Pelodiscus sinensis: one gene and its partner. The protein of the gene in region 2 interacts with the protein of the main gene of each other region in a biochemical or structural test. Links are inferred from orthologs where the notes say so. Each region holds a gene or a part of one and is shown on either strand. Other genes may lie near its edges.

What was found. The genes of interacting proteins can lie anywhere in the genome.
Region 1: the proteins of CRK (region 2) and ARHGAP32 form a complex in vitro, tested with the Homo sapiens proteins (2 studies listed by BioGRID and IntAct, with this or other methods). The link is inferred for Pelodiscus sinensis from reciprocal best matches to the Homo sapiens genes CRK and ARHGAP32.

What each region holds. Positions count from the first base shown.
Region 1 is NC_134736.1:11,486,357-11,494,168, reverse strand, and holds the start of ARHGAP32 (rho GTPase-activating protein 32), read left to right. Parts: upstream 1-4,805; 5' UTR 4,806-4,948; coding exon 4,949-5,055; intron 5,056-7,812. UniProt on the Homo sapiens protein: GTPase-activating protein (GAP) promoting GTP hydrolysis on RHOA, CDC42 and RAC1 small GTPases. May be involved in the differentiation of neuronal cells during the formation of neurite extensions.
Region 2 is NC_134731.1:1,453,133-1,460,063, forward strand, and holds the start of CRK (adapter molecule crk), read right to left. Parts: upstream 3,044-6,931; 5' UTR 2,959-3,043; coding exon 2,715-2,958; intron 1-2,714. UniProt on the Homo sapiens protein: Involved in cell branching and adhesion mediated by BCAR1-CRK-RAPGEF1 signaling and activation of RAP1.

The DNA of each region.
Region 1 (7,812 bases), on a different chromosome or scaffold from region 2:
CACAAACAGCCCCACAGCCCCGCTTCTTCTGGAACGTCTCCAATATTCCCATTGTTGTTGAAAATTAACGTGAATGGCCAAAAGTGCTCCTTGGCCAGCTCTTCTAAAGCTCTTGAATTCAGATTATCTGGACCTGTAGATTTAAAAGTATATTGATGAAAATGCTTATATTGATTGGCTTTGGCTGTCAGTTTAAAGCAATGACCTCTAACCCTGTGTACAGCAGGTGTTCACAATATGGTTCCTAAAATGGTAGCAGTCACTGATTTCTAGTCTGCACTGGCAGCACGAAATTCAGGAGACCATAACTTGTGGTTGCAACAGAGAGTAGTTCTAGTAATAACAGTGTAGTGTGGACAAAGGTGTTTGAATATCTGTTAGCTTTTGCTGTAACTTATGTAATAAAAAGTACATGAGGTTTTTTTTGCTGGGTGCTAGTTATTTCATCAGCTTTGAGCTGGAAACGGTAGCTGCTTTTACAAAATAGGTTTAGTTCAGGGGTGGGCAAAAGGGTCTCTGTGGGCTGTATCCAGCCTGCCACATGGGTGGATCTGGCCCATGGAGGTCCTGCTGCTCCCCTGCCCCCAGGCCAATCAGAGCCTGGGGGTGGGGGAGCGCCCGAAGCCCCTCCCGCCCTGCCAGGAGCAGGTGGTGCTTTGAAGTGCTGTGCGCTGCTCGCGAGGGGAGGGGGGAGGAGCAGAGGAGGCTTCGTGCACTCCAATCAGGGTTTGGGGGCGAGGGAGCTGCATGAAGCTTCCTTCACCTTGCCCCGGCCCTGGGAGGAGCCTGCGGCACTTCAGAGTGCCACATGCTTCTCGCAGGGTGGGAGGAGGCTTCCTGTGTCTCCCACGCTCAGGCCCTGTTTGGCCTGGGGGTGAGGGAACGTGCCAAGCCTGCAATCACGGTCTGGGGGTGGGGTGGCCCACCTCTTCCTGTTTAGGCCCCTCCCCTTCCAGGGTGGACAGGGCTACTTCAACAAATTTTGAAGTGGTCCCGGGCAAAAATTATTGCCCACCCCTGGTTTAGTTTCACTCTTGTGAGTTCTCAGTAACTTTCTACAAAACACCAGTTTGATAACTACTTTGGAGGTACAGAAGAGTATTCTCTAGCTTGCAGCATACTAGTTTGCTGAATCTCAACAGATATTCTAACCTCATTCTCAGTGTGCTCTAATCATAGGACTGTGATCTAGAGCAGTGCTTTCCAGACGTTTTTAGTGCTGCATTTTGCCCCGCTCTTTTGTGATTCACAGAGGATCCAGATTTTGGGGGGGGGGGGGGTATTGTAAAAATCATAGGCCAGAGTCCTTCTCCTTGCCCCAGTGAAGGGGCACTGGCCACTCCCAGGAGCACCCTTCATCCTGACACTGGAATTCTGATCCTGGCCCAGGGTGATGGGGAGGCCCCAGGAGAAGGGAGGTTGGAAAGTGACCCCCATCCCACACTCATCCTGCAGTGGTGCTGGGTCTGATTCCCCAATCTGGGCGTTGCAGCTCAGCACACAGGATTGCAGTGCCACTTGGGTTTGGCCCTGATGCGCCTCCCTGGGGGATGACTGGGCCAAATACGCATGAGTGATGCTGGGGGCAGATGTGGGGGGTCACAGCACCACAGCGTTAAGTTGGCTTGTCTGGCTCCCACCATGTTGCGGTGGCTGGGCCAAGTGGAGTGGCACTGTCACCTTGCTCAGTAGATTGCAGCTGCCAGAAAGGAGAGATGGACCCAGCCTTGTGGAACAGGAGCTGCTGCTGTGCAATGAGTGCCATGTGGGCTTGCTCTGCACTGGGCCCCTCTTTCTGCAGTAGTGACCTGGGCATGACAGTAACTGCAGCTTGCCCAAGGATCTTAGCTTGGTGAATACTGATAAATAGGTCCTGAATATACACTCCTCGCCTCAGAGGTAGCTAAGCAACCGTTCACACAAATTCCATCGTTCTAAAACGCACTTGAATATTTAATCATTTCTAAAATCATCCATTTTCAAAAGGTTGAAATCTGCCTCCCCTGGCGACCCCCGAAAACAGATCACTCATCACCACCTTCTTGCATCCATACAGTCTATGAAAGCACTTGTCCTTCATCTTCAGCTGAGCAAGTCAAGGCATTTCTCTCTAATTCAGTAACTTTAATATCTAAACACTACAGTCTGTAATTCCAACATTTCAGGAAATGTTCTAGGGCTCAGTTGGAAAAATCCTATTGATTTGGGGAAAATTGGAATACCAGAAGGGGGCAAGTGAGGCCACAGGAAACTCCCTTCACGCTCCTCCCTAGTTGTCTGTAGATGGAAGAATTGGCTGATGGCATCAAGTAATATTTTCCTGTGTAACTAATATCTCTGCTTAGCCTCCCATTTGCCTTTAACTTGTTGACATCCTGAATGACTTCTCTACAAAACAGAATGAAGATTAATAACAATGGTGAAGGAAGGTGGGGAGCACAGCATCCCTAACTGGAGGGTATTAGGGGGCATGTTTGTAGAGAGATCCTGAAATAGAAAGGGATGGGAGGAGGCACATAGAGAGCATATGGGGGAATGGAGGAATGCAAGGAGCCCCTGGTATATTTAGTGACGCAATAAAGCCTGTAGCCCCCTATTGTAGGACTCTTCTCTCCCCCCCCATTTACATCTCCTCTCTACTTTTCCCCTCTCCTAGGTGTTCTTTTCTTTCATCACTGGAGTCTGGATTAGCCTATCCCTCTTGTGCATACTTGCTTTGGTGAGCAAAGATACATTCCTATTGGTCAGATTCTGGAAGAAAGGGCCCTAAGAACAATAATCAGGCTGTCTAGGCACTGAACCAGTCTAACCTGTTCCATTGTTTTTCCCTGCAGCTATTCACCTCTGCCAAAACTTGCCAATCCACTAACCTCCCTTCCTCCTGCAACCTGTTGAGCTAATGTTTAGGAAGAGCATGCTTAGTTATTAGGATTGTTAAAGAAATATATTGTCGTTCATTTATACTGCACTTTGCAAACATCAGTGTCAATCTTGTTAATCCTAGTATAGTGCTGTTGAAATGGTTTCAGTGGGACTTTTCTCTGTGGTGAAATCTATGGTTAGTAATAAGCATTTTTAAACCATCGTATTCAGATATAAGACCCATTTCCTTCCCTAAAGAACACAGAATGGAAGAGCTTGGTGTAGTTTTCAGCTCCACGAGAGGCGGTATCTATGTTGACGGGAGTAGCTCTCTGTCGACATAGCGCAATCTACCCTGAATGACATACCTATAGTGATATAAGTTTGTACTGTACACCTGTTCAATCAGTTCTATAAATACTAACTAGAAGATTTACCTGGCATTGCTCAGGTCCTTCAGAGCAGGGGCCTGAGGCTGTGGGAGGTGCAGGACTCAAAGCAGGGGCTTCGGGATATAGGGCGGCTCAGGGCAGGGGGCCAGGGATGGGGGTGGAGGAGACAGAGTTGGAGGTGAGGAGAGGCTAAGGGCAGGGGTTGAGGTTACAGGAGATTGGGAGGTGTGGGGGTGGGTAACTCAGGGCAAGGGGTGGGAGTGAATGTTGGCTGCTCCCTGAGGCTGGGGCGCTTACTGTGTCCCCTGTGGTCATTCGGGAGTAGAACTGTCCCTGCTATCACAGCCTTCCCTTTCCATTTGATTCGAAACAATAGCATTCCATGTGCTTTTCCCATTGTCCTGGAATAATCAAACCGTGACCTTGCTTTAAGTTATGATAAGAGGAAGCTGCATACCAAATTGGGTGGTCCTAGCTCTGGAACAAGCAGACTCAGACATATGGACAGGCAGACAGATGCACAAACTCTTTCAAATATATAGTAGACTAGACCAGTGTTTCTCAACCAGTGGTACGAGTACCCTTAGGGGTACTAGAGAGAAGTATGGGGGGGATGTCAACTCAACTGAAATTTGGAGAAAACTGATTTTTTGTTTTAAGTTTTATAGCACTTTATTTTTATACTTTTTGCACCAAAACATCGCCCGCCTGGCTACGATTAAGTTGTTTAAATAAATGTGTTGTAATGGTAGAAAAAAAGTTTGTGCGTCTGAAAACTGTAGGTACTGGGGGTACTTCATAAAAAAAATGTTGAGAAACACTGGACTAGACTATGCTGCCTCTCATGGGTATTTAATCCACCTATTAAAACATCACTTTCCTGTAGATAATGGTCTGTTCTCACTTTTTTTGAGTGGATTTGCAGGTTAAACTAAAGGTTCAGTGTTAAATAACAAAACTTTGCTTTTCTACAGTTCCTTATGTTTTAGGATGTCCAAAGTGCTTTACCAATGAGTTAAGGTCTCTGAGTCATCCCTGGGAAGCATGTAAATATCCTCAAAACAAAATTATGTAAAAGTCAGTTTGTGGCAGTGCTAGGAATAAAATCCAGTTTTCCTAACTTTTAGTCCCAGTTGACCATTTCCTACAGAGTTATTAAAATTATTTAGGATTTGGAATGTCCAACTTACTTCCCTGCCTCGGGGTACTATATGGCATAGAAATGATTTGTTAGCCTTCCTGCTTCAGCCTGGAAAGGGTTACAGCTGGAAATGCCTGTATCAGCCTGAGGAAAACATGAATCAGTATTAGTGGGTGAAGGAAGAATGGGAACCCTGGTACTTCTCACTTCCGATTTTCTCCTGTGATGTTTCAGGAGGTGTTGCATACAACTGACATTTCTGAGCCTGCCTGAGGTGGAAAGCAGTCTGTATGTACTGTATCATTAAAGAAGGGGAGAGGGACTGGGTGGAAAAAGAACCTCAGTTTTTAGCTCTTTCTCTGTGACTCCTCTGCGTTCTCCTCCTCTTGCTGCTTCTAGCCAGCTGCTCCTGCAGACTCTGTCTGTGTGTCTGTGTGTCTGTGTGTCTGTGTGTCTGTGTGTCTGTGTGTCTGTGTGTCTGTGTGTCTGTGTGTCTGTGTGTCTGTGTGTGTGTGTGTGTGTGTGTGAGCGTGCGTGTGCGTGCGCGCAAAACATGGAGGGAGGGACAGAAGCTCCTACTGCTGCTTTTACCAATATCTATACAGCCGCTTCCACTGCAGGGATGCTAGGATCTGGCAGCAATCGGGATGAATCCAAAAGGTCAGTGCTATCAATAAATCACCCACGGAGATATGCTCCTGAAAGGCGTTCTTTTTTTTAAAACCCTCCTCTAATAAAAAGAATGTTAAGCTGATACGTTAGCTGCTGCAGTGAACATAATTGTTTCACGCTGTGTCTTAGCCAACAATGTCTAATAAAAATTTAGAGCACGACAGTGTTTTTTAAAAAAAGCAAGCACGTCATTATCACAAAGATAATGCAAGTTCCTTTACAAAGCCTAAAGATAAGACCAGCGAGATTTCGAATATTGGTATAGAAGAAGGGTAAATTATTTCCTGCAGTCAGATTTTATTATAGATTATAGTAGATATAAAAAGTAGTTGGCTATAATAATTTGGTATTTTTTCATCCCTCACCCTTTATATGACCGTCTCTTCTGAAGCATTTTCCAGTAAAATAGGTATAAATTGTAGGAATTAGTGTAATTGAAACTTGCATTTATTTAATCTAAAAATAAAATGTTTTGTGTGATACTAATTTAAATAGGAAAAAATACATAATCCTTACCAGTTGTATTACGAGAACAGTAGTTGGTGTTCTCAGTGTACTTCTAATGTTTTTTTTCGTGGCTAACTGCTATTGCCACCGTATGGTTTTAGAAACTAGCTGTGAAAGTCCAGGTTATCATGTAGTTAAAATTCTTGTAGAATGAGGCAGTGTTGATTATCTTCAGGATGGATCTTCTCCTTCACCCTTGGCTTGCATTTATCCAGTGGCTGATAGGAAATAAGCCTCTATTGCTCTTCCAATCCAATTGAGCTTTTCTACTTCTGGACTGAGAGCACATAAATATTTCCTTGCGGAGAAAGAGGAGTGGAGAGACAGTTTAATTTAAAACTTGCCTTCTCTGGCACGGCTGTCACCCTCCTACCTGGCTTGCAGATTGAGGCTGTTTTGCAAAACCAAAAGTTATTTATGGACGTAGCTGTAGGACGCAGAAGACTTAGATTCTCCTATTTCAGTGCATGATACGTATAAATTAAGTTTAGCTATTTTATGCTGACTCCACCCACTTGGGTTTACACAGCCTCGGGTGCAGTGGATAATTTCTAGTAGTGTTTCAAAGGAACCCAAATAAATCTGGATTCCTTTGAATTTGTTTTCTCATAAGCTGCTGTTTTTTTCTTTCCTTCCTTCCTTGAGGGAACTGTTAATGTGGTCTCCATACAGCATTTGAACCACTGAGGAACTGAAATACCACGAAAAAATTCAAAGTTGTATAACATTGGGCCTCATTAATAGGCTTCTTTATTCGTGTAATAAGAAAAGCCTGGCAAAAGCCTAAACACAAATGTCTGAGATGAAAAATACTAGAACCCACACACTTCCTAATTTCTATTAGCCATGCAATTATAAATACACATTTCAAAATTCCCACACCAATGCAGAGGACTTTTGTAAATAGCAATGTCATGGGATTTTCTTCTTAGGAAATGTTGGGTGCCTAGCTCTGTGTACTGAGGCTGCAATTGTTTGCAATCAGATAACAGTGTTATGTTACTATATACTGTTTCCATTGCTGAAGATGCAAGAATGTTATTTGCTGGAGATCTGTTTTTCCTTATAGAAAATGTGCAGCATTCATCTAAATAATTCTGAAATGACAGTCCATAGGACAAATCTGTTTTAATTCCAGGAGGGATATATCCTTTGCAAATAATCGAAAACATGATGGAATTAGCATGATTCGCTCCTCCGCATCCTGCTTTTCAGTGTACAGATAAAAATCTGCACTGAGTCTGTCAGGATTCCAGTTAAAAGGATTGTGGGAATATTTTAAAGTTTTTGCTCCCTCCCCATCATGTGCTCCTGATACTGACATTTTGTTTTGTGTTGGTCAAGGAATTCTGATTGTTGGCACTGGTGTGAAGCTCAACAGTGCAAACTCCAGGGCCTTATTCATGCTGGCCTGCTTGGGGGAAAAACCATCTTCCTTGTGTGAGTCAGGACTACAGGTTTGGGTCCAGAAGTAGCAATTGTTTTGATTATTTTCTTTCTTTTGGGTATCAAATTGGTGCTGTTGAAAGTGGGACAGCTACCAAAGCATGACAAGACATAGTATAGGCAATGATTGCCCAAGTTTTGCTCTCGCGGCAAAGCAATATGCTTTATTTCTGATTTGCATCTCCTTATATTAACGCCAATTTTTGGCATTTCATGTTCTGTACGTGCCAAGTTGTGTGTGATGTAGCTTTGCGTCCAGGAAAATTACTCTGAGACCACTAATCTCGCTTATATTTGTGACCTGATCATGTCCTCTAGTAGTTCATGTTGAGAAGAAACACATTGTGCTGAATTCCCTCTCTTAGGATCTCTGGACTTTTCTTAGAAAAAGTATTCCAATATATCAGTAGAAAAACCAATACAGGCAGTCCCCGGGTTACGTACAAGATAGGGACTGTAGGTTTGTTCTTAAGTAGAATCTGTATGTAAGTCGGAACTGGCGTCCAGATTCAGATTCTGACTTACATACAGATTCAACTTAAGAACCCCAGGCGTCCCCAAGTCAGCTGCTGCTGAAACTGATCAGCGGCTGATTCCAGGAAGCCCGGGGCAGAGCAACTCTGCCTCGGGCTTCCTGTAGTCAGCGCTGGTCAGTTTCAGCAGCAGCTGACTTGGGGACGCCTGGGGCAGAGCAGCTGGGGTGCTGCTGGGTTGGTCCAGTAGCACCGCTCCTCGCTCCTCGGCGCTACTGGACCAACCCAGCAGCACCCCAGCTGCTCTGCCCCAGGCGTC
Region 2 (6,931 bases):
CCGGGTTGGTCTCGCCGCGCCAAGGGTCGGCACTACCAGACCAACCCGGCAGCACTCCAGCTGCTCTGCTGCAGGTTTCCCTGATTCAGCTGCTGCTGAAACTGACCAGCAGCAGCTGAACCAGGGATGCCTGGGGCAGAGCCAGACTATCGGAAGGGGGGGCTATGAGGGGTCTGAGGTGGTATCCCCCCACCCCAGACCCCTCATAGCCCCCCCTTCCAATAGTTCGGCATATCTGATAATCCAGCACCCTCTGAGTCCTAAAGGTGCCGGATTATATTACATTTGTACTGTACTCTTTCCCCTCCATCCCATTACTTCATTCACTTATCTACATTGATGAGCAGTCATCTGTTGAAGTGGGCTTTACCCACAAAAGCTCACGATGTGTGTGTTAGGCTCTTTTTTGAGAAGGAAAGCAAAGTCCTTTTGGGACCCCAATTTTTCAGTAGTGATATCTGTCCCACTCCAAAAACATCTCCATATTCTAGTGACCCTGCCTCAGGAAAAGAAGGCTGTTTGTTTGCAGTAGGGATGTAAAAGGTTAACCAGTAAGCCTCACTTTTAGCAAGTAGCCCACTGAGGCAGCCCCTGTCCATGGCAGCCCAGCCAGGTTCCCTGCCCGCAGGTTATAAGATGGAACTCTGCTACTGAATGGCATAGACTAAGAAAAATACTAAAAAAGAGTGGACATTAAATTGCTAATAGTAAATACTGAAGTATTAAAAGTTAGGGATGCAAAAATCCCATTTAATCATTTAACCACTGAAGGTTATGTTTAACCAGTGAACTGCTTAAATGGAGGCTGCTCCAGCTGGGCTAGATTGCCTCCCCTCCCCCTGTCTGCAGCACGCACCATAGGCTGGGCTGCTGCAAGCGTCCCCTGCCCGCAATGGGCTGTTCTGGCCTCGCCGACACACCATTGGCCCAGAAAGACTAGAGCAGCCCTCTGCCCACAGCAGGTGGGGGGGCTGCTCCAGTCTGGCCCTGCTCCCAGTTAACCATAACTGGTAAGCATGACCCGGTACGGGTGAAGCTTACTGGTTAACCATTCACATCTCTGATAAAAATGCCAGGCTTCAGGGATCAAACTATTTTCTAAGTATTAGGGAGTCAGTGAGAGTTTTAATAGGGAGCAGATTATCTTGCAACTCCCTATTGCAAGCTTTCTTGCACCTTCCTCTGAATTGTGTGGTTCCGGCCTCCATCACAGAACAAACGTTGGATCAGATGGACCATGTGTTTTATCCAGTGTGAGAATTACTATGTTCCTATAATCCAAGCATCTTGCACACTACAAAACAAAAGCTAATACCCCAGCAGAAAGGCTGGCATATCTGCCATGCCCATTCTGGTGCCATTTTAAAGGCAGTGGTGCAGAAAATTCAGACTCAAAAGGTTTGACACCGGAATGGACCATTATGATAATTTATTCCGTCCAGCATGACACCAGCCATAACATTTCACGTATTAATTTCTCAAACCCAAAAACCTGTATTTGAATTTGGAAGAAGATGTCTTGTTAAATGTCCTATTTTGACTGCATTCAGTCAAGTGATAGAGAATCCATCACATTCTTTGTTAAATTGTTCCCAAAGTTAGCTGCTTCTCCACACAAAAGTTTACACTTATTTCCAGTTGAATTTGACTAGCTTCAACTTCCAGTCCCTACTGCTTATTGGGTCTTCTGATGTGTCTGTACAGGCAAACATGAGACTTTATTCCAGAATAAGTATCCTGGTTCCAAAGGTACTTAAATACCAGGTTCAATTCACCTTGTAACCGCCTCTTAAAGTTAAATACATTGAACTAATTTACTCTTGCTGAATTTCAGGTTTTCCAGAATAGCAAAGAGACTAATTTTTGGACTGTCTCGAAATTTTTCCATATTCTTTTTGGAGTGTGGCCAATAGAATGGAACACATTCTAATAATGGTTACAGTGATCCTCCACTCAAAAGTAGTATCTTACAGCTCAATATTTCCATTTATACATCCAAGGATCACATTACTCCTTTTAGCAACAGCGCTGCATTGGGAACTTGTGTCCAGCATGACTCCTAAATTCAGAAGCACTGCTTTTGGATACAGTCCTCCAGCCGGTAAGTATAACCACTTTTCTTTGATCCTATATGTATGATATTGTGTGACTGGATTAAAAACACAGTTTGACACTTGTATTTTCATGTATCAGATTTCAAGCCATTCTAGAAGGCATAACACATCTGCTTATTCTCCACAAATGAAAGGAGAAAATCAGGGTAATTTTGCTTAGCATCCACTTGTAACATCTCAGAGAGGTTACCGGTTTAAATACTTAAATTACGCAATTCAAATATTTCCTTTTCAGACTCGGTCATTTGGAGGTTTGAAATTAAACAAAGGAAATCTCCCCCCCCCCTTCAAGAATCTCTCATTAAAACGAGGAATTTAACGGTCTTTCCCCCACACCCCCAAGTCTCTACTATGCCAAATGTTTTCAAACGCCTCGTGCGATCGCTCCACGACCAGGCAGCGCTAGAGCGTCAGCTGCCTCCGGCGGGCGGGGCGATCCCCGAGCGACGGGCGATCTGGGGCGAGTGGCTGCCCCGCCGCGAGCGCTGCCGCAGGGGGCGGGAAAGCCCCGCGCCGCGCGGAGCCCGAGCAGGGGGCTGGGCCGCGCCCAGCGAGCGAGGCCCGGGTCGGACAACCCCCCCCCCGGCGCGGCGCACTCACCCGGGGCCCCGGGGCCCTCGCCGCCCGCCCTGCGGCCGCCCGCCGGCGCCAGGCTGTTGACGATGTAGTGCGAGACCCGCGAGCTCTCGGACACCGACAGCACGAAGTCCCCGGGGATGGTGCCCGAGTCCCGCACCAGGAAGGTCCCGTGGCGCTGCCCCTGCAGCAGCGACACCGCCTCGGCCCGGCTCAGCCGCCCCCAGTACCAGCTCGCCCGGTCCTCGGCGTCGAACTGCCCGGCCATGGGGGCCGCTCCCGCTGCGGGCCGCCGCCGCCCAAGCCCCCCGCTCGGCTCCGGGCCCCGCCACCCAAAATGGCGGCCCCTGCGCTGACCTCACCTACCAGACGTGACGACAAGTAGCCCGCGAAAAAGGGCGACGGTCCGGAGACGTCATCGTCCCGCGCAGGCCGCGCGGCCATTGGAAGGTCACGAGGGGCGGCCGCCATTTCTCTGCGGCTTTTCGAAGGGGCGCGCGCGGAGAGCCGCCATCGAGGGGAGGGCGTGGAACGGGCCGACTGGCGCGGCGGGTGCACCCGCCATTGGGGGACGGTCGCTGAGGGGGAGCGCGCCGCGGGTGGCAGGAGCAGGAGGAAGGTCCTGAGTACGTGCGGGACTGGACTATGCCGCCATGTGCAGAAGGTCGGCGACAGGCTGATTGGACGCCGGGGGGGGGGGGGGGGCGCCGCGCGCCTCTGCGGAAGCTGGCCCCGCCCCCACGCTGCGGGCCGGCTGGTAACGGTCGCTGCGCGCGCCCGGGCGGGAAAACACGGACTGCAACGGTCTGCGGCGGCCGTTGGTTGTGGCTGAGCGCCTGCGACAGGGCCCAGCAACCCCCCAGCCCAGGCGCAGAGTTGGGGTAACCGGACCCAGATCTGGAGCAGCCCGCTCCCTCAAGCCGCCCGGCCCGGCCGTGAGGCGCTGGGCTCTGTCTGCACTGCCGGGCTCCGCGGCAAACACGCGCCGGCCGCCAGCGAGCGTCCCCCCGCACGGCCAGGACAGCGCACCTGCGCGTTTCCGGGAGCCCCCCGCTGCCACGCCTGCCTTTGTGCCCCAGAGCTGTAGTGCAAAGAGGAGTTATCCTCGCCCAGAGGAGGCGCTGCTGGCCAAAGCCCTCGGCTCTGTTGAGTTTCTTGCGCAAAGATGTGCTTGAGGTGTGGACACTCCACCGGTTTTTGACCAAAACGGCTGTTTTTGCACAAAAACCTTGTAGTGTAGACATAGTCTAAGGTGCCACAGGACTGCGTGGTTTGAAAGTTACCCCTCTACGACCCTATGTCCAGACCGCAAAGAAAAGTCAGAAAAAGATACGCAAATTGCAAAGCACAATTTGCGTATCTTTTTCCGCTTTTTTTTTTTTCTTTCTTTCAGAAGAGGCTTCTCTGAAATTTGGCCAACTGCATGGGGCCAAATTTCGGAAAAACCTCCTCTTTCAGAACATCCCTTCTTCCTCATACAATGAGGACTACCGAGATGCCAAAAGAACACGTCTGCTTTTTGGGAAACTGTCCAGAAAAAAGACACGTTCCTTGGATGCGGTATAGCTTTTCCGGGATATCGCCAGTATCCCGGAAAAGCTCTGCAGTGTAGACATAGCCAGAAAGAAGCAGAGTGGTTGCTTCCCTCCAGGTAACAATTATTTACACTGGGTCTGATAGTAAACAAAAGTGTTCTTACTAAGTACACACAGTGGGATTTAAGTCAGTGTTTCTTAAACTGTGTTCCAAGGCAGTCGGAGGTGTGCCACGGAGAACAGAATTAAAAAAGATTTCAGTACCAGGTGGTATGGTCACCTGTTTTTCTAGCACCAACCACCACTTGGGCTTTTAGGACAAATAAGGCTGCTCACAAGTCACTGAGCTGATCACCAAGTCATTAGGCTTCCAGAACACCAGTAATGGCTCTCATTAATACATTTTAAACTATAAACAGACTCACACTTCATATTTCTAACTTCACATACAAGAATGATACACGGACCAAAATAAGATATACAGATCCAGCAAACTGTTACATTATAGGTTTCATGAGGTATTTTGTCTAAAGCACCTTTGACTTATTAATATTTATATTCATAAGCCACATTTCATAAAACAATAAGTGTTTGAATTAAAACCCTTGGCTGCAAATTGGGTAGCTGCAAAAGACTGTCTTTTAAGACAAGGTGAACCATTTTAATCAGGAAGGTGACTGAAGTACATAGCAGTTCCATGTTTGCTGTCTTGTTATTTACTCTGCATGACAAAGCTGTTTTTAAACTGTTGTTGCCCCAGTCAAAAAAACAAAGAGAATGCTAGGAGTCATTAAAAAAGGAATAGAGAATAAGACAGAAAATATCTTAATTCCTCTATATAAAACCATGCTATACCCACATTTTGAATACTAGTTACAGATATGGTCATCTCATCTCCAAAAAGATATACTGGCATCGGAAAAGGTTCAGAAAAGGGCAACAAAAATTATTAGGGGTTTGGAACGGGTCCCATGTGAAGAGAGATTAAAAAGACTCGGACTTTTCAGCTTAGACAAGAGGAGACTTACAAGGGTGAAGGGGGATATGATAGAGGTCTATAAAATAATGACTGGTTTTGAAAAAGTAAATAAGGAAAAGTTATTTACTTATTCCCACAATATAAGAACTAGGGATCACCAAATGAAATTAATGGGCAGTAGGTTTAAAACAAACAAAAGGAAGTTTTTCTTCACTCAGCACACAGTTTAATCTGTGGAACTCCTTGCCAGAGGATGTGGTGAAGGCTAGGACTTTAACAGGGTTCAAAAAAGAGCTGAATAGATTAATGGAGGTTAGGTGCATCAATGGTTATTAGCCAGGAAGAGTAGGAATGGTGTCCCTAGCCTCTGTTTCTCTGGAGGTGGGTGACAGGATGGGGGTGAGAAGCTTGCTTTAAGGCATTTGTTTGACTCTTTAGAGCCAGGTTTTATTAACTTAAGAGAATTAAAAATAACATGCGTTTTCAGCCATTGTGGCTGCCAACACACTTTGGTTAACGGTTTGCTGCTTTTTAGCAATTTGCTGTGGAGTTATTTTCGTTTTCAGGTTAGTAACTTTTTTTCAGAAACACGACAGAGCCTCACACAGAGCTTGCACCAGCACAACCTTTTTCTATCCCTGGATGCCAGGGAGGCCTCCACCCACCCCTCAATGGCAGACCAATCCTGAAGATGCCTGGAGGGATCCATATAAGGATCTCCTCCCATTTCCCTACCAATCTGTTAATAAAATCCCTAACAGTGGTTGCAGTAAAGAGCCCATCAGACTTACCCATGGAGACAGGATGATCTGGCACAACTCTCCCCTGGGATCCTGTTCATAATGCCAGATGTTTGAGAAGAAACAGGCGGCAGAGGAGCAGATAGGGTTAATGGACTACTTTACTGTTGACGCACATTTACCTTGGACCCCCAACACAATGTTGTGAGTGGCAATGATTTGGCACCAGTTAGACTTTATTTATTTTAGTATGTTAATTTGCCCATTTATTACTACTTTACATTAACCCTTATTTAGCTAAATTAACTTCCATACAATTAATATTAATAAGCAGGTGATGAATACAATTATATCTGCCCCTTTTTGTCATTTACTGGTTTTTAATTAAATTAGCATTACATACTGTTTTAATTAGCAGTTGGGGGGGGGGGGGCACGGCTTTGACCCTGCAAGTATTTTTGCAGAGCAAGTGTGAAGACTAAGCAAGACACTGTTCAGTGCAACTCTTTCTAGGCCGCAAGGACAAAAGGAAAAAAAGATGCTTAAAGGGCAATGCCTGCTCTAGCTAACCCCCCTGCTGCTGTTGTATTTTTTCCCCAAACAATTGTTTATTCTGGTAGTTTGGCTGTAACACAAGAGACCTACAGGCCACGTCCTGTATGTTGAGCAAGGCAAAGTTGTTAGTTTTGTGTGGGACCCTTCACCCAGAAAGCAGTTAGCTCACATCTGCTTGGGACCTTTTGCCCGGCTCCATGGCGGTGCAAGCGAGGGACTTTGCATGCCACAGGCGCACCCAAGAATGCCCTCGCGTTTCGCAGGAACATCGTTACTTAGAAAACCCAACATAACCAGTTGAGACCAGACTGAATAACTGGGTAGGACAGAAATTGTAAATGTGATCGAGAACCACAAAAGGCCCATGGTAATGAATTGACACGTGATAAGTTGAGATCAACGACATACTGACCTGCTGGAAAAAGACACGTC